Arabidopsis thaliana: one gene and its partners. The protein of the gene in region 4 interacts with the protein of the main gene of each other region in a pairwise test. Each region holds a gene or a part of one and is shown on either strand. Other genes may lie near its edges.

Region 1 (3,687 bases), on a different chromosome or scaffold from region 4:
CATCTATGTACTTTCCATAGATCTTCCTTTGCAATCATTTAGTGGTGAACCTGATATGTTGTTATTTCCTGCAGCAAGTTTCCAACAGAGTAATATCATGTCTGACCGGAACCATACAACGGAACATTCCACATATCGTTTTACATTTCTATTGACCTTGACCTTTATGTTTTAATTTGTCAAGAAGTCTACTGCATTTCTATTCTCTCCTATCTCATTCCTCTTTATTTACTTGCTTTCACATGGTAAGGAATTGTGAATATATGGTCTCAGCCTCTCATGTTAGACATTTCTTCTATGATTCTCATTTTTTCTATTGTGAATAATTTTTTTTCCAGACAACTCTTTTAAAAGAGACTTACCATTGGACTATGAAAAATCTTTCAAAAAAATCAGAAGCTCTCATCTTACAAATTCAAAAGATTTATACTTAAAAAATGGTGAGATCCCATTAGGAGGCTCTCACCATTGGAGATGGTCTTATGAGTTCCGTGAAGCTCTCTCGTTATTCTTACAGGGCATGATTTCGTATAATATTTTTAAAAAAACAAACGATTGGGCCTTGAATTTTTAATTAGAAAGTTAAACAAAATCTAAAAACCCACATGTGGTCTCTTGTTTTTTTTGGTGTGATGGTCGAATATTTCTAAAAACCCACAAGATTTATTAACTAGTCTTACAAATTACGATTACATTTTTTTTTTACGTTTTATCTCATTGACAGGGTATAATTTATACCGTATAAATATTATTTTCTTGTAGATCAGTCTTTTCAAAAAATGTAGTGGGATTACTGAATGCATTCCTCTATAATTAATTACGACAATTATCATAGTTGGTTTAGAAAAAAATAGTAAAATTGCACGTTTGCATGCCTATACAATTCGAGTGTACATGAAACTTGATGTAGAGTACCATACCCATGTCGCAAAATATTATTATTTATTGAAAAAATTACAAAGTCGCGATGCAACAACCTTTGTACTATATGATGAGAATATAATATAAAAATGGGCAACAAGAACAAAAGAAAATAGAGAAAAAAAGGAAAGGATAATCTTCCACCTAAACAAGTCCAAAGAAGATTGCAAGTTGCAACATCCACTTGCTTCGTCCGGCGTAAGCTCTTTGATAAGGTCTCTCACCGTCCTCCGACTTTCTCTCTCCATACATACACCACATTTACATACGCCATTTACACATATATGACAAACCCATCAACATCTGTGCATGCACGTGTGCTCATGCATGTATGTAGTTTTTACTTCGCCATGATGACCATGTCTATCTTAAAATTTACCACAATCAATCAATCATGCGCGTTACAGTCGTGTGATATTCAAAAATTGTACATGTTATTTCTCATAACTATCACTTTAGTAGATTAAGATCAGAATGTGCATATAATAAGTAAATTTTAACAATAACAGCAACATATTTTACTATAACTAATGATTTATTTAAAAAAAAAAGATAAAACTAATTCTGAAATTTCAGTTTTTTCTATGAACAATTTATTAACAGTATTCATATGTAGATAAACCTTGTAGATTCTATAATATAAAATTTATCAAGATGGAAATGAGGGATCTATAGAATACAATTAATTTTGGTGATATATATTCAAGATAATGAAGGAGGCGTCTGAGGAAAGAAATCATGGGGGCATAAGATGGTACAATGTATCATACATGGTCACACACATCTATATGATACAAATGCGTCTATATACACAACTGTTTCTATATACATACAAACACAAAGCCTTCACATCCCCAGCTATCTCTATCCATCTATCTTCAAATATATATTTTTAAAAACACACAATGTTCATATCTTATTGTTATTGTTATAAAATAAAAGATGATCATACTTTTTAAATTTCTCAAACAAAACCAACTTGACAACCGACAGCGAACAAGATCAAAAAGCTAGCTCTCTTCTTTTCTCATCAAACTTATTTCTCTCTCGATCGCAATATATACGATTCCATAAATTCTCCCAAAAACAAATTAAGAGATAGAGGAGAGATCATGAGGTCACCGGTGCAACTCCAACACGGCTCAGACGCCACTAACGGTTTCCACACGCTGCAGCCTCACGATCAGACCGATGGTCCGATCAAGAGAGTGTGTCTCACGCGCGGTATGCATGTCCCTGAACACGTTGCGATGCACCACACACACGACGTTGGTCCGGACCAGTGTTGCTCCTCGGTGGTGCAGATGATCCACGCGCCGCCTGAGTCCGTGTGGGCTCTTGTGCGGCGTTTCGATAATCCGAAGGTTTACAAGAACTTCATCAGACAGTGCCGTATCGTCCAAGGCGATGGACTACACGTCGGCGATCTCCGGGAGGTCATGGTGGTCTCTGGACTCCCGGCGGTCTCGAGCACCGAGAGGCTCGAGATCTTGGACGAGGAGCGTCACGTGATAAGCTTTAGTGTCGTTGGTGGGGACCACAGGCTCAAGAACTACCGATCGGTGACGACACTACACGCGTCGGACGACGAAGGTACCGTGGTGGTGGAGTCTTACATCGTTGATGTGCCGCCGGGAAACACGGAGGAGGAAACTCTAAGCTTCGTTGATACTATCGTCCGGTGCAACCTTCAGTCTCTGGCTCGAAGTACCAACCGGCAATAATCTCATCTTTCTTATATAAATTGCAATTATGTATCTAATTTTTTTTGTTGTTCTATTTCTTTTAGATGTTCGATCTTCTTTACAAGGAAGAAAATTTCGAGTACCTTTTCTTTCTTTTTAAATAGATATATCGGCTTAGAAAGAATTGTAATTTAATGGGGATTTCTTTGGGAGATTTATGTTGGAAATTTCGAAGTACTGTTGGGGGATTCACAAAACTTTGGATTTGGAGGGTGTTAGTACTGGTACATAAAACATTTTAAGGTGAATCTGTTAAATGAATTAATCCATTTGTTGTTTTGTACATGGTATCATTCTTTGTGACATTGTTTAATTTCTTGTACTCTTTTAAATGTTACTCTTAACCGTTTTTTTCTTTTGTGGTTTGTAAATGAATATTTGATGCATCGGTATTGTTAATGATAGACTTATTAATTTATTTCTTCATAGTATGTAACATTACTATAAGTTTGTTTTTTGTTGGTTGATCCTTGTGTCCAAATGTTCTAAATAGAAAATATAATACAAAGCCGATATTCTGATCTAAGAATCAATTAGAATGAAGCCAATAACTGTTCCACTGTCTATAATATTACCAGAGAGATAAAAGTTCAGAAATAAAAAAACTCCAATTCGTTTAACTTTAAGATTTATCGTCATCATGGATCATATTAAGGGAACATCAAATTACCTTTAAGTATTGAGTATATATATTCGAATTATCTGTCTATTACACATAATATTCTCGGGACGTAACAATTTATTAGAAGGTACTATATGTAGATGGAACTGCGTGTTAACTAAGAGGGAAATTATAAACCAGGTTATGGAATTTAAACCTGATTAGCATGTGCATTTACATAAAACATATATATTAGACCTAAAGCAAAAGTAGACGTGCTTAAACTATTACCAACTAGTCTTTCATTGGCTACTAGTCTGGTCAAGTGGAGATTATCATTTTTTATTCCCGTTTGTTTTGTTAATAAATTATAACCAACCAACCTAGTGGGTTATATTTAATTCAAATATAAGTTTTTGG
Region 2 (4,522 bases), 140 kb from region 4:
CAAGAACCACAGTGAGATCTTTCTCAGAAGACAAAAATGGGAACAGCGTCGTCTAAGTCTAACATCAACCTCTCGCAGGTCCTCAACACTGAGGAGCCGTACAGCTCCGTGATGCTGGCCGTCGCTGCTCTCTTGGCCGTTGTATGCTACTTATGGATTCAGGGGAAGTCCAAGTCCAAAAAGGAACCTCCACTGCCTCCGGGACCTTGGCCACTTCCTATCGTCGGAAACCTCCCGTTCCTAAACTCTGACGTCCTCCACACGCAATTCCAAGCCCTAACCCTAAAATATGGCCCTCTCATGAAGATCCACCTCGGTTCCAAACTTGCGATCGTCGTCTCTTCCCCTGACATGGCTCGCGAGGTTCTCAAAACCCACGACATCACTTTCGCCAACCACGATCTCCCTGAAGTCGGAAAGATCAACACTTACGGTGGTGAAGACATCCTCTGGTCTCCTTACGGTACCCATTGGAGGAGACTTCGTAAGCTCTGCGTCATGAAGATGTTCACTACCCCAAGTCTCGAAGCTTCCTACTCCACTCGCCGGGAAGAAACCCGACAAACCATTGTCCACATGTCGGAAATGGCTCGTGAAGGATCACCAGTCAACCTCGGAGAGCAAATATTTCTTTCCATTTTCAACGTCGTGACAAGAATGATGTGGGGCGCCACTGTTGAAGGAGACGAGAGAACGAGCTTAGGAAACGAGCTCAAAACCCTAATATCTGATATCTCCGACATAGAAGGGATTCAAAACTACTCAGATTTCTTTCCGTTGTTCTCAAGATTCGATTTCCAAGGATTGGTTAAGCAGATGAAAGGCCATGTGAAGAAGCTTGATCTCTTGTTCGATAGAGTTATGGAGAGTCACGTCAAAATGGTGGGAAAGAAGAGCGAAGAAGAAGAAGATTTCTTGCAATACTTACTTAGAGTTAAAGATGATGATGAGAAAGCTCCTCTGTCCATGACTCATGTCAAGTCTCTCCTCATGGATATGGTTCTTGGTGGTGTCGACACATCGGTTAACGCATCCGAATTCGCCATGGCAGAGATTGTGAGCAGACCGGAAGTGTTAAACAAGATCCGACTAGAACTTGACCAAGTTGTTGGCAAAGACAACATCGTTGAGGAATCACATTTACCTAAGCTTCCTTACCTACAAGCGGTTATGAAAGAGACTCTTAGGCTTCACCCTACGCTTCCTCTTCTTGTTCCTCACAGAAACAGCGAAACCTCGGTGGTTGCGGGATACACTGTGCCTAAAGACTCCAAGATTTTCATCAACGTTTGGGCGATTCATAGAGATCCTAAGAATTGGGATGAACCAAACGAGTTCAAACCTGAGAGGTTTTTGGAGAATTCGCTTGATTTCAATGGAGGTGATTTTAAGTATTTGCCTTTTGGGTCAGGAAGGAGGATTTGTGCGGCGATAAACATGGCTGAGAGACTTGTTCTGTTCAACATTGCTTCACTTCTTCACTCTTTTGATTGGAAAGCTCCTCAAGGACAGAAGTTTGAGGTTGAAGAGAAGTTTGGTCTTGTTCTTAAGTTGAAGTCTCCACTTGTGGCTATTCCTGTTCCAAGGTTGTCCGATCCAAAACTCTACACAGCTTAAGTAAGAAGGATGTTGAATTGAGTTTTCTTGTTTAAAGTTTACTTTTCTTTATCTGTGTCTGGAGTTTTGATGCTTTGTATAAAAGATGTGTCAAGTTACATTTTTGATAACATTTAATATAACAAAGTTTTACTTACAATAATAACGCCTAATAGTCGATGCCAAAGCTATAAAACTATATTGTAGTTATATTTTTGGCAAGTCGATTAAAATTCTTGGGTCAACAAATTACAAATTAGTATGAAGGTTACAAATTAAAATTGTAATTATTTAAATTAATTAATGTATAATTATATCACAAATACTTCACGTCACACTAAATGAGTCCTTCTTAGCGGCAAAATATGCGTTATTGGGCTAGGCCCATTTATAAACGACGCCGTTTACACAGTCTAGAAACTCAACATCGTCGTTTCTCTCCCGGCGACTTTATCGCCGTCTTTTTCTTCTTTAAACTCTCTGGCTAATTTCGTTTTGCTTTGAGCTTGTGAGCTACTTCTGATTCCGGCCATCACGCAGCTTCAGGTTAGTTTTTGATTTAAATCAAACAACAGTACATGGGTTCAGTGTGTTGTGTCTCGAATGGAATTGGTTTCTGTGTTTAGATTAGGGTTTAGGGCTCTTTCATCTAAGGAAACGAAACCTAGGTTATACGAATCTCTTTGTTGGGTCTCTCTCAATACCAATACCAATCAACGAAAGGATTAATTTTGTTCATCATCTTCAACGTCTAAGGCTATAATTTGTGTTAGTTCAAATTGATTCAGAATAAAGTTTGGATTTTTACTTCACCTAGTCCTGAATTTGTTGTTCTCTGTGTAGAAAGTTTCTGTTTTTAAATCAAAGAAATGAAGAAGAAGATGATAGCCATTGGTTTCGAAGGATCAGCTAACAAGATTGGAGTTGGAATTGTGACTTTAGACGGTACTATCTTAGCAAATCCTCGGCATACGTATATAACACCACCTGGTCATGGTTTTCTTCCTAGAGAGACTGCACATCACCATCTTGACCATGTTCTTCCTTTAGTCAAATCAGCTTTAGAGACTTCTCAAGTTACTCCTGAAGAAATCGACTGTATTTGTTATACGAAAGGTCCCGGGATGGGAGCGCCGTTGCAGGTTTCAGCCATTGTTGTTAGAGTATTGTCACAGCTTTGGAAAAAGCCAATTGTTGCTGTGAATCATTGTGTGGCTCACATTGAGATGGGGAGAGTAGTTACTGGAGCTGATGATCCTGTTGTGTTGTATGTGAGTGGTGGTAACACTCAGGTGATTGCTTATAGTGAAGGTAGGTACCGGATTTTTGGTGAGACTATTGATATTGCTGTTGGTAATTGTTTGGATCGGTTTGCTAGAGTCTTGAAGCTTTCTAATGATCCAAGCCCTGGTTATAACATTGAACAGGTAGATTTCATTTGAAAGTAAAGTAAATTTGAATTCTTGAAAGATTCAAGAACAATGTTAACACGGTTTTTGGTGTTGTTACTAGCTTGCTAAGAAAGGAGAAAACTTTATTGATCTTCCGTATGCTGTTAAAGGTATGGATGTATCGTTCAGCGGAATCTTGAGTTATATCGAAACTACTGCAGAGGAGAAGCTCAAGAATAACGAGTGTACACCAGCAGACTTGTGTTATTCCCTTCAAGTAAGGCTATCACTTGGTTCTTAACTGATGAATTTTGTCACATGAATGCAAATTTTGGACTGTTTAAGAGTAATATCATGAATTCATGTTTGTTGATCTTGCAGGAGACGGTGTTTGCGATGTTGGTTGAGATCACAGAAAGAGCGATGGCGCATTGTGACAAGAAAGACGTTTTGATAGTTGGCGGTGTTGGGTGTAACGAGCGTTTGCAGGAAATGATGAGGACTATGTGCTCAGAACGTGATGGTAAGCTGTTTGCAACAGATGACCGTTACTGCATCGATAATGGAGCTATGATCGCTTACACAGGTCTACTCGCGTTTGTTAATGGTATTGAAACACCGATCGAAGACTCTACCTTTACACAACGATTTCGCACAGACGAGGTTCATGCGGTGTGGCGAGAGAAAGAAGCTGTACTACTTGGGGATAAGAAAGTTGCAGCGAATTGAGTCTGTCCCCATTTTTGTTCATTTTTCATCAAATTTGAGATTGAATCTCTCTCTACTCGATAAATTGGTTTTTGCTAAGTAGTTAAGACTTTTAAATGTGTTTTATTAGCCAAATTATATGATTGATATCTTTTGGTTTGAATGTAATAACACTTTCAAATTTCAAAGTGAGCTTTGTAAAAAGTTCAAATGTTTCTTGTGTTGCATTTCGCTATTTGTTTTATTGCTTTAATAAAAATATGATATCTCAAAGTCGACATTTCTACCGAGAATGGTGGAGAGATTAGTGCATTAGTCTTCCTTAATCATACAAAAACAACTGTGAAAATACAGCACTACTAAAAAGTAAAAAGTAAGAACTTTTTAATGTAGAACGTATGAGATGGTTCAATTAATCACAAGACACTTCTATGGCATTGCGTATTAAACGAAAAGTGAGTAAATAGAATTTATACATAATGATCTAATCTTGATCTTGCTAATAAAAATTGTAAAGGCAACAACAAGTTGTCAAAAATTTCAATTTGACGTAGAGATAAATTCTATCTAATAATTTTGTAAAAACATTCGAGATATAGTGTATCATTTTTCCATCATCTAGAACTCATTTGCGTATTTTCAAGTGTAAATCAGAACCTTGACACATAGGCTACACAAATTTTGGTCGATATTTATATTACTTTTGTAGCATAATGTGGATATCCTTCTAGAGACTAGAGTTCTAGATAAAACATTCATACATGTAACTATGTAAGTAAGCATGCATACTAAATATAAAATTTTCAAAAGTTTTAAAAGACATCATA
Region 3 (4,670 bases), on a different chromosome or scaffold from region 4:
ATCACACGTAAGAGCATAATCGAAATCGCCCTTGATCTTGGTTACAAAGTTAGTAGTTATTCCACGTCTTTTTTCTTCTAACACCGTTTCCAATCTTGAGTCAAAAAACAGAGCAATACTCTGTTTCAAAATAGGAATACTTTTGATGCATGGAAGTTTTGATAAGTGTGTAATGGACTCAGGTGGAAGAACGAAGTGTTCCGGTAGAAGAACTGAAGGAAGCTGAAGAAGTTTTCTGCACTGGAACTGCCGCTGGAGTTGCTTCTGTTGGAAGCATCACTTTTAAGAACACAAGGTCTCTTCTTCCTCTCTGGATACATGTATACATATGCTTAGAATTTTACATTTATCTGTTGATAAATAATCTGCAGGACTGAGTACAAAGTTGGAGATGGGATTGTTACACAGCAACTTCGATCTATTCTTGTCGGAATACAAACTGGTTCTATCCAAGACACTAAAGATTGGGTTTTGCAGATTGCCTAAGTTACTTTCATATCCTATAAATAATGTTGCACTCTCTTGATCACCCATCAAAAGCTTTTGAAATAGTTTTTGGTAAATTTGTGACATAAATTTGTGATATATCACCACATCGTATTAGTATTAAACATTTGTTTCACTCTTCCAAAGAGACAAAAGCAAAACTAAAGACCTTCAACTTCAAGGTCAGGATATGTAATCTAATGGTTTGTCTTTGTGGCATTTTGCCACCATTGGTTCAAAATACCATTGCTGTATGATCAGCCTCCTCAGATTCTATTTGCCAGACTCTACGGCGGTATATTCGCTTTTAGAAAAAAAACAATTTTGTCGAAACTTTTTTTTTTTTGTAAATATTGTAGATTCCACACACAAGACTGTCTAAGATTCTTTGATAAGACACGACAAATGCGATTTAAGATTTTTCAAAGAAATGAGGTTCGTTGATTGTTCCACTAGGTTTGGTATATTTATAATTTGAATTTTTTTTTTTAAAGATATTTATAAGAAAACGAAGGAGTGTGCTCGCGTCAAGTGTGTACTAATAGTCGATGACACTAGTGATACGACGATACTGGAAAGGGACATCAATATTCATTAGTAAGCCATCTTAGCAAAAACGTTGTTATCAGATAAGAAAAGTTCTCAGACTGACGTGGCTGTCAATCTCCACAACGTGTTTATCTCCCATTTGGGTAGTTACGGACAAAGACGTTGAAAAGACAACAATATGGTCTAAAAGATTGACATGGAAAGAAAATTGTTTATCCGACAAAGACCTCTTGGTCCAACGTGGCTTTCACATCACTAGTTTACTATTTCACATCTCATGGAAAATTACTGAAATTAGTACTTGTCTGTATTTTGTTTTTTCGTCAAGTATTTGTTTGTATACTTTAGGTAATTGCGTGCCGAAGAAACATTGCTAAATTGATATTTATACCAACTTACAATAGTTTACAGTTCAAAAATAGAAATCTCCATTTTGAAGATACACCACTAATTTTCTTCATTTATTTACCCCATAAGAGAACGAGAAAAGAACAATAGTCCGTTGATTTCGTTAAAATCTAGTTTCAGAAAGACACGTCTAGATCTGTCTGATCAGGGCAGATAGACACAAGTGACGAAGCAAAAGAAACACAAAAATAAGATAAGAACTCTTACCACTAAAAGATAAAAATAAGAAAAAAAATAAAACAAATTCAACGATTTGCCAAGATAAAAGCAGACACTGTACATAAGCTCCGCATTCACTTACGTGTTGGATACTTAATTTGACACTCTTCTTTGTGTTTTCTCTTCCACCTTCTTTTTCGGTATATCATTCAACAAAATTCTCTCTTCATTTCTTTATTTTGTTGTTTTTTTTATTATTATTGAAATCAAGAGAATTAAAACAGAGGCTCTGCAAAAGAAGATGATCAAAACAATCACATCTCTACGCAAAACTCTGGTTCTACCTCTTCATTTACATATTCGTACGGTATAAACTGGATTCTTACAATCTAATGATGATTACTTACTTAGAGACATAACTCGGATCTCAGATACAAACATGTTTTATGTTCTGTTTTTTTTGTCCTGATGAAATAGCTACAAACTTTCGCCAAGTACAACGCACAAGCTGCATCGGCTTTGCGAGAAGAGCGTAAGAAACCTCTTTATCAGTAAGTTCTCTTTTTCATGATCCAGCCAGGTCATATAGATATTTTGTTACCATTGGAAAAAGCTCTGTTTCAAATTTGTTGTAATTGTATCATATAGAAATGGAGATGATGTATATGCGGATTTGGATTGGGATAATCTCGGGTTTGGTCTAAATCCAGCTGATTACATGTATGTCATGAAATGCTCAAAAGACGGCGAATTCACTCAAGGAGAACTTAGTCCCTATGGGAATATTCAGCTAAGTCCTTCTGCTGGAGTCTTAAACTATGGACAGGCAAGGATCTCGTAACCCCCAAATGTTTCTTGATTTGTTTCTCAACTGTATGATCAATAGAGGTTTTGGGATTCTTTGCAGGCGATATACGAAGGTACAAAAGCATACAGGAAAGAAAATGGGAAGCTTCTTTTGTTTCGTCCGGATCACAACGCTATCCGGATGAAGCTTGGCGCTGAACGGATGCTCATGCCTTCTCCTTCGGTTGATCAGTTTGTTAATGCAGTTAAACAAACCGCTCTTGCAAACAAACGTTGGGTAAAAACGCTTTCTTGTGACGTATATTTCTTCTGAAGAGGTTTGTTTTTGGGATCTGATAAGTGATGATGTGTTTGTTCAGGTTCCTCCTGCAGGGAAAGGGACTTTGTACATTAGGCCTTTGTTGATGGGAAGTGGTCCAATACTTGGTTTAGGTCCTGCACCTGAATATACATTCATTGTCTATGCATCTCCAGTTGGTAACTACTTCAAGGTATATACAATACTCTTGCATGTCCATGCTTTTTGGCGATGGAACGATTAGCAAATGTTTTGTTCACTGATTTGTAGGAAGGGATGGCTGCTCTTAACCTCTATGTTGAGGAAGAATATGTCCGAGCGGCTCCTGGTGGAGCTGGAGGCGTCAAGAGCATCACAAATTATGCGCCAGTAAGTGTTGAAACCAACTTAGTTTCTCAAAGACCAGAGTCAGAAAAAGAGTTTTGATAAACCACGTGTTTGTAGGTTTTGAAAGCACTGAGCAGAGCCAAGAGTCGGGGGTTTTCAGACGTTCTTTATCTCGACTCTGTCAAGAAGAAGTACTTAGAGGAGGCTTCTTCTTGCAACGTCTTTGTTGTCAAGGTAAGATATATTGTGGTGTCTCCATGTCTCTTTGTTGCATCCTAATTGTATCATTGATTCAGGGTCGGACAATCTCAACTCCTGCAACTAATGGAACAATTCTTGAAGGGATTACGCGGAAAAGTGTGATGGAGATCGCAAGTGATCAAGGTTATCAGGTAACACAGATAAGATTGAATCACTCTAAACACCCAAAAACTAAACTCAGCTAAGTTTCACACCTGAGTTATGATCAGGTAGTAGAGAAGGCAGTTCATGTGGATGAAGTAATGGATGCAGATGAAGTTTTTTGCACCGGAACTGCTGTAGTAGTTGCTCCCGTGGGCACTATCACATATCAGGAAAAAAGGTAAATCTCAATGCCTGAATCAAGTTTTACTCAAGCCTTAAGCAAAGAAATGGACTGATGTAATCTTTCTGAAACATTCAGAGTAGAGTATAAAACCGGGGATGAATCTGTCTGCCAGAAACTGCGTTCAGTCCTCGTAGGTATCCAGACAGGATTGATTGAAGATAACAAGGGATGGGTCACAGATATCAACTGAAGAATAACAATCTTCAATATTTTGCCACAAAGGAGATTACTCTGCATTTTAAGCTGTGTATACACGACAATGAAGAACACTATAAACATATATATGAGATAGAAACAGAAAGCTCTTTTGCTCATTTCTATATCGTAAAGTCAATGTCTTTCACAAAACTATGACAAAGAAAAGAATCGTCTATTGTACTTGTAGACAAGTGTTTCCAAGGATAGTTTCATTTCCTCCTGCAGTAACTCCAAATTTACATTTCATTTTAGGAGGCAAAACTGTATATACGTTTCAATGGCTTTCCCCACTTCTTACTTTCATCACCCATAAGGGTTTCAACTACTAAAATTGTAACTCAACTGCAAAAACACCTTTTCATCTGCAGAGTTATAAAGTATACATTGTAACTCAAGTATCTATGTTCGTTTGTAGATCTCGGCAAACCCTGGGGAATTACGAATTGGGGAAGCACTGGGACAGGATTTCACCTCAAGATCAAGACCAGATTTACTTCTCTGGAACTCCCATATGTAATCAGCTTTAAGATTCTCTTTCTCAGGCTTCAACTCTTCAGAATCTGGTAACTCCTGATCTGAGCAAGGAGAAGTGCAACCAGCTTTGCTGGATTCTTCAGAACACGTTGGTATCTGAGAGTATGCAACTTTCAAGTTGTTATGTATCTCTTCCATCTTTCCTGTCATCTCATCTGCTCTGTCCATAGCGATAAGAATCTGAAAGAAACTCATACATCAATATCTCTCAGGAGATGCAAATCGAGGTTATGAAAAGATGAGTAATATATATATATATGTATATATACCTCGGCTGGATATTTCTGGAATATGGGCGCAAACCTTTGCCGGCAA
Region 4 (6,733 bases):
TAAAAAGTTCTCTAAACCCAAACTAAAATTGTACACAAGATGAGTTCTGAAAAAAAATTCATTGACTTCAATAACTAACTTAAACCCCACATGAATATCTCTAAAATACCAAAAATCCAGACCAAAATCCAAAAAAGAACAAAACTTTTCACAACTAATTTCACAATGAGCAGGTATAAACTCGTTTAGATATCAATGAACAATTAACAAAACCAATAAGCATGAGAATTCTGTAAGAAGTCCACATAAAAACTCAATCAGATAATCGGATAAACTAAAATTCAACACAATTAACTCCAATTGCGACCTAAACGCATCAAGATGAGCTTAACAACGATATAACAAAAGCGTAGAGGAGATATAATTCGATGATCCAACGAACAACCACTTGAGCGATTCGAGAAACTTCCAAAAATACTTCAATCAAAAACAAAATAACATCTAAACAATAGAAGGAAGACGGAAAAAACCCAGGGAAGTGTAATTGAATCACCTCGAGCTTACGAACGGCGACGGCATTGGAAGAGCCGGTGATGGTCATGAAGGTGTCAATAGCTTCCTGAGTAGGTGTCGCCATTAGAAAAGAGAAAGCTTGAGAGAAGTTTTTCGTCGGAGATTTGTGTTTGGAGCTGGAGTGAAGGAGGAGGCAAGAATTAATATATGTTGTAAATCACAAAAATTGCAGTGAAGAAAGGAATTGGATCGGTGACTCTTAAGATTTTTAAAGCCTTTTTTAGGGTCTTTCTTCTTTTCCATTTTTTTTAATTCTCCTTTTTTATTTGGTGTGGATTTTCTTAAACTTTATTTTCTTTATTCTTTTTGTATATTTTCGGTGATATTCAAGATATTATTTTCAGAGAACTTGAGATAATATATGGAGTGTCCTAATCTGAATAACTAAATAAATAATTATTCAGTTGAAATTGGATTTTTTTTTTCAGAGTCTTTATATTTTATAAACTGGAATTCGAGTCAAATTCAGAGTGGATTAAACTTATCTTTTTAGTTTTTACTAGCCAAGAACTTTTTGACCTTTTTTTTTAACATGATATTAATTGTTATAGTGTATATACATTAAAAGTTAGATAATTTTTAATGTACAAAAAAAAAGTTACATAATTTATTTTTTTTCACACCAATTACATATTTTATTTGTCAATTTGACAGTAAATATGGAAATAAGCCTTAAAATGTAAAGGCTTTTCGGTCCAACAACGAAAAACCAAAACCAAACCCAAAACTAAAATATCCAAAGATATCCTCACTTTATGATCATCCCAATCTTCCCTCTATATAGTGCCTTTAAAGGAGCTGTCATGTTCTCTTTCGGCCGTTTGTAATATAAGAATTGTCGTTTTTGTCCAAAAAAAAGGGTTGGCTTTCAGTTTGTGTCCCAGAAACAAAGTAAATCTTTAGATAAATTGAAACAAAACTAGCTTTGTGACTCCAATTAAACTTTGCTTCCTCTAAGAAACCTTATGGAGAGTATTATTCTACAATGATTTGAAGTATACTACTAATAATTGATTACATTTAAATTCAACTATAATTTATTGTTATTGTTCTTCAATCAACTTGAACTTTGAGTTTATTGGGCACATTACTTTTAGAGGAATGTGAATGTGAACATTGAAGAGACGTGTATTTTATTTTCTTCTTGACAAATACCGTTGGAGGTATAAAAACACCATCAAACTCAGGCCCATTTGGCAATGGCGGCAACAAGAATGGGTATTATATTGAGGTTAATTTCGTCAATCACCACTTTTAAATCGTGACAAATTCGTCTATTATCTCTCAATCTTCTTCAACCTTCAATTACATCGGCAATTCTACAAGTGGCAGCATCCTATTAGTAACAAACACACGTGGCGTAAGCTAATGCGTCGTAGTGTTTATAATAGCTGGGGTTTGTTAATTATGGCGTCACGAGTGATTTAAGAAGCAGCTGAAAAATAATAAACAATGAGGGAATGCCAACGTTTTAAATTATATTTTTAATTTGTGAATTTTCATCAGAGTCGGATCTTGATGCGACTGCTCAAACAGAGTCACCGGCGATTACGATGGCCGGAAACAACTCGGAATCGAGTCTCTACCAGGTTTTGGTGGAGTGGTGTCAGAGGATGGAGACGAGTCAAGCGAGACTAAGGGAGGATGTTGATGACTTATTGCTTCAGGAGGAGAGTCGAACCGGTAAGGAATCGGCGACGGGATTGGAGACGGACACGGAGAAAGAGGCTGAGGTAGAGGTGGAAGCGGAGGCGGCGGATTCCTGGGATAATCCGACGGCGACTTGGGAGAGAGCTGTTTCAGGATTCTATTTCGCTGATAGTGCGTATCGGACTTTGATGGATTCAATGGGACACGCGATTCATGTAACATCAGCTGCGTCTGGAGAAATTACATTCTGGTGAGCTTGATAAGTTCTTCTTCTTCATCTATGGTGTTTGTAGATCAGGAGCTTATAGTTCTTCTAAGTACTGTTTCATTGAATTGTGTGTTTAAGTAGTTAAACAAAGTTATATATAGCGATTCATTGTATATGCAAGTGGACATTTACTATTTGTTTCTGAGTGGAGAGATTCTTTTATTATTATTCAGGAGTCGTTCTGCTGAGAATCTGTACCATTGGTATGCTGAGGAAGTTGTTGGCTACAGAACTATTGATGTGCTTGTAACCGAAGAATACCGTAATTCCCTTACTGGTATCAGGAATAGGGTGTGCCGTGGAGAGACTTGGACTGGTCAGTTTCCGTTTCAGAAGAAAACTGGTGAACTATTTATGGCTTTGGTGACTAAAAGCCCTGTGTATGAAAACGGTGAGCTGGTTGGTGTTGTTACTGTCTCGAGCGATGCAACCCTTTTCAATAGGATGCATCCACTAAGTAATGAGCATCAACAACAAGCTCGTAGTAATAATAGACATGAATCAAACTTGAGAAAACATCAGTGGCACCTCCCGAGGCCTCAGATCGCTGCAGCATCACAGGTTCCAGTTGTCCCACAATATTCATCAGCTGTTGCTTCAAACCTGGTAGATCTCACATCATGAATGTTCGAAGTTTCTCAGTACTTTTTTTTATATAATAATTCGTGTGCAACATGAATGATTGTTTGTTTTGCTGTTTTCTGCACAAACCAAGAAGGCGTCGAAGCTTCTACCACAGAGAAATGGAGATGATTCCTTCAATGGAAATCATAATTCGAGGAGCCGAGATGAAAATGTTCCGGTTGTTGCCTCCACAACTTTCGAGAAGTATGGCTCACTGGTAAGTCTTCGTTGGCTCCTTAAACAAGACACTTCTCATTGACATTTCTTAGAACGATTATTGTCTCATGTTATAAGCTAAATCTGCATATACACTAGTGTAGGCGGATAAGTTTTTGGGGAAGCTGCAAAGGAAGATTACTGGCAGCCAAGGAACCGAAGATAATGAGCCTATCTTAAGAAACGGTATCAATAAGTCAGCATGTGGCAGTGGAGGTAGTTCTAAGGCTTCTAATGCAGTTACCTGCACGGCTTTCAGAGACAATGGCAATGGAAAACCAAAAAGGGCTGAAGTTAGAATTTCAGATGTCTATGGAAATGGAGCTGAGGGTTTGATACATAATGGAGATCGCTTTCAGTATATTGGGAACCTGGGACAAAGTAAACCTCCCAGAGGACTAGAGAGTGGTTTGGTGTCTGGCATGCGGGGAACAAAAATGTCGGACCTAAATGGTGAGATAGAAGATGCTTGGAATACTCGTCTTAGTGTTGATCCCTTGCCAATTCTAGGAGTCAACAGCGGTAGGCAACAAAGTCCTGTCAACCAAAGGAATAATAGATTAGTTACTGATTCGTCATGTGAGATACGATGGGAAGATCTACAACTTGGGGAGGAGGTCGGAAGAGGTGTATTTCATTTACCAAAGTCTTACACTCGTTTTCACGTTTTAGATATGCAAATTCAATTCAGATCTGTGTCATTGCTGTTTAAATCAGATTACAAGTATTTCTGATGCGTTACATTTTCTCACAGGTTCATTTGCTGCGGTTCATCGTGGAGTTTGGAATGGATCGGTGAGTTTTCTGTAATTTAAGATAAAATAAGGATGATTCTAGTATTAGTTGCACATGGATAACTAACTAGTCCAATCTATTTGGACCAGGATGTTGCTATTAAGGTTTACTTCGATGGTGATTACAATGCGATGACTTTGACGGAGTGCAAAAAGGAGGTATGTATAATTAGTTCTCTCTGTTATGAATTGTTTCTAGAAGTTACTCGTACCAGACAAAATAAATCAGTTTTGATCAATAATATCTTCAGATCAACATTATGAAGAAACTGAGACATCCGAATGTGCTACTATTTATGGGAGCAGTATGTACAGAAGAAAAATCTGCCATAATCATGGAATATATGCCAAGGTGAGATTATTGACGTATGGATCTGGAAGTAGTGTTACTCCTTATCGAGTGTGTTATATTATGCTGCAAGAAATTGCAGATGAATACTCTGTGCTAAGTTATTTCTATACGGTTTTGATGATTAGAGGGAGTCTCTTCAAAATACTTCATAATACGAATCAGCCATTGGACAAGAAACGCCGTTTAAGAATGGCCCTTGATGTTGTAAGACTCTGATCTTCCAAAAACCTCCCTCACAATGAAAGAAAAAAATATGAAAGGCTGATTATATTCGGGTTCTCTGTTGTTGTTGCAGGCTAGGGGAATGAATTACTTACACCGCAGAAATCCGCCAATTGTACATAGAGACTTGAAATCTTCCAATCTACTCGTGGACAAGAACTGGAATGTCAAGGTACAAACAGTTTTCTCAAGTTACATTTATGAAGACTTGTAAAATGAGTTTACTATTGCATGGACTTTCAACTCTTTCTTCCCTAGGTTGGAGACTTTGGGTTATCAAAGTGGAAGAACGCAACCTTCTTGAGTACTAAATCCGGGAAAGGAACTGTAATGTTTAACAAAAGCCATTTCTGATTCTTTTAATCCACAAAACAGTCTTGGATTTCTGTTACTAAACATTGTTCAACTTTTTTCTATGTGCAGCCGCAGTGGATGGCTCCTGAAGTTCTCAGAAGTGAACCTTCGAATGAGAAGTACGTTGGATATAATATTAACCCTTTTTTGTTCTCTTTTCGAAGACATTATTCAATAACTTGAACATTTTTTTGGACTAAAAGCTCAATGCTTTCGTTGTAATAGGTGTGATGTGTTCAGCTTTGGAGTCATCTTATGGGAGCTAATGACTACGTTAGTACCATGGGACCGTTTGAACTCTATTCAGGTACCTCTCAAATTCTGTTCTTATGAGATTATAGCTTGATCATAAGATTGTAGTAATCTTAGCAACTTTAAATTAGGTTGTTGGAGTTGTTGGTTTCATGGATCGACGATTAGACTTACCTGAAGGATTAAATCCCCGGATCGCATCCATAATACAGGATTGTTGGCAAACGTAAGAAGACGCATCTGTAAATTGTTTCATCAAATACACCCTACAAACTTAGGGGCGATTTTTCTTATATTCTTTGTTCTAAATTGTTGAAACAGTGATCCAGCAAAACGACCGTCGTTCGAGGAATTAATTAGTCAGATGATGAGCCTGTTCCGCAAACCAGGGTCAGGTGCGCAAGAAGAAGACGATTGAGAAGGTAAACAGTACATGGTTAAAGGATAGTTCACAAAGCAAAGGACGTGAAAAGAAAACGAAAGCATCGTCCTGATCACTTACTATACAAATGTTTCATTGTGTTATACCAAACTACTATTTATGTTTTCATTGAAAGAAAGAAAGCAAAAATAGCTAAATCAAAGTAATATACAGTAGAATCTTAGGTTAGTTTAGTTAAACTATGCATTATATAAACTGTTGTCGGTTTATGAGCTAAGTTGTAAAATGGGATCTAAAAAGGCAGAGGCGCAGAGGCCAGAGGAGGACTCAGATGTAATTTAAGAAGTAAAAGGGTGAAAAAGAGAAATACGAGAAAAACTGTGAGATTGATGGTGTCTTGTAGTGAATTGTAATGTAGTTGGTTTTGGTTTGATGGGGTAAGAGAAGGAGGAGTGACAATTCGTAGGCATTGCTTCTTTTGCTTTAATATTCTCTTATTACAGCTTCCCATCACTGCGTCGTCTGTAGCTTCTCAGCACCTAATTATAAGAGAGAGTCAGAACCCTAAATAAAACTTTTTTTTCAATCCTTATTCGTAATTCCACATTACAGCATCTTGAAATTGACGCAGTCACAAAAGCATAATTAAAAAAAAAAGGATACAAAGATGGGTCTATTATACCGAGTATGTATTGTGCATGCATGTGACGTGGGTGAAGGGAACTTCTCTTATAGAAGTATTGAAAAAGGAGAAATTTTGGGGGATTGAAAATATTTGTCTGTTTGTCTGGTTAGGTCAGAACAAATCACATCGAGCTGCATAGTAATATTTCGTTTACAACACATGGTTGTGACCTCTAGACAAATAAACTTTTTAACAGTTTTCGCTGTTTTGCCTTGCATGTATTTCGTAGTATTTCAATTTATATGTAACTATATTTCAATTGAAACATCTTTACCATATTATTTTCTTTTTTGATGCCAATTTCTTTACCATGTGTTTGCTCTTGTGTTATTTATGTGTGATTGATTGATTGACCGTGTCGATTACCCAAGCGGAATCTTGTAAAGGGATACTCCGTCACCGTAATACAGTGACAGCATAT

The links.
Region 1: the proteins of AT4G23050 (region 4) and PYL5 interact in a two-hybrid assay, tested with the Arabidopsis thaliana proteins (one large-scale study listed by BioGRID).
Region 2: the proteins of AT4G23050 (region 4) and AT4G22720 interact in a two-hybrid assay, tested with the Arabidopsis thaliana proteins (one large-scale study listed by BioGRID).
Region 3: the proteins of AT4G23050 (region 4) and BCAT-2 interact in a two-hybrid assay, tested with the Arabidopsis thaliana proteins (one large-scale study listed by BioGRID).

The regions. Positions count from the first base shown.
Region 1 is NC_003076.8:1,607,341-1,611,027, forward strand, and holds PYL5 (Polyketide cyclase/dehydrase and lipid transport superfamily protein), read left to right. Parts: upstream 1-1,647; 5' UTR 1,648-2,033; coding exon 2,034-2,645; 3' UTR 2,646-3,187; downstream 3,188-3,687. UniProt on the Arabidopsis thaliana protein: Receptor for abscisic acid (ABA) required for ABA-mediated responses such as stomatal closure and germination inhibition.
Region 2 is NC_003075.7:11,935,002-11,939,523, forward strand, and holds AT4G22720 (Actin-like ATPase superfamily protein), read left to right. Parts: upstream 1-1,940; 5' UTR 1,941-2,142; intron 2,143-2,439; 5' UTR 2,440-2,465; coding exon 2,466-3,023; intron 3,024-3,108; coding exon 3,109-3,264; intron 3,265-3,368; coding exon 3,369-3,716; 3' UTR 3,717-3,968; downstream 3,969-4,522. Other genes in the region: CYP706A2 (cytochrome P450, family 706, subfamily A, polypeptide 2), read left to right, coding at 37-1,617.
Region 3 is NC_003070.9:3,286,352-3,291,021, forward strand, and holds BCAT-2 (branched-chain amino acid transaminase 2), read left to right. Parts: upstream 1-1,735; 5' UTR 1,736-1,903; coding exon 1,904-1,969; exon of another isoform or gene 1,970-2,079; coding exon 2,080-2,153; intron 2,154-2,250; coding exon 2,251-2,428; intron 2,429-2,509; coding exon 2,510-2,686; intron 2,687-2,768; coding exon 2,769-2,900; intron 2,901-2,977; coding exon 2,978-3,076; intron 3,077-3,151; coding exon 3,152-3,268; intron 3,269-3,330; coding exon 3,331-3,426; intron 3,427-3,504; coding exon 3,505-3,617; intron 3,618-3,698; coding exon 3,699-3,813; 3' UTR 3,814-4,120; downstream 4,121-4,670. Other genes in the region: BCAT-1 (branched-chain amino acid transaminase 1), read left to right, coding at 1-48, 183-295, 372-486; AT1G10090 (Early-responsive to dehydration stress protein (ERD4)), read right to left, coding at 4,221-4,535, 4,625-4,670. UniProt on the Arabidopsis thaliana protein: Converts 2-oxo acids to branched-chain amino acids. Shows activity with L-Leu, L-Ile and L-Val as amino donors and 2-oxoglutarate as an amino acceptor, but no activity for D-isomers of Leu, Ile, Val, Asp, Glu or Ala.
Region 4 is NC_003075.7:12,078,046-12,084,778, forward strand, and holds AT4G23050 (PAS domain-containing protein tyrosine kinase family protein), read left to right. Parts: upstream 1-2,014; 5' UTR 2,015-2,066; coding exon 2,067-2,413; intron 2,414-2,604; coding exon 2,605-3,037; intron 3,038-3,146; coding exon 3,147-3,272; intron 3,273-3,375; coding exon 3,376-3,898; intron 3,899-4,025; coding exon 4,026-4,066; intron 4,067-4,155; coding exon 4,156-4,224; intron 4,225-4,316; coding exon 4,317-4,417; intron 4,418-4,542; coding exon 4,543-4,621; intron 4,622-4,712; coding exon 4,713-4,811; intron 4,812-4,897; coding exon 4,898-4,966; intron 4,967-5,062; coding exon 5,063-5,112; intron 5,113-5,218; coding exon 5,219-5,300; intron 5,301-5,376; coding exon 5,377-5,471; intron 5,472-5,566; coding exon 5,567-5,663; 3' UTR 5,664-6,211; downstream 6,212-6,733. Other genes in the region: AT4G23040 (Ubiquitin-like superfamily protein), read right to left, coding at 494-577.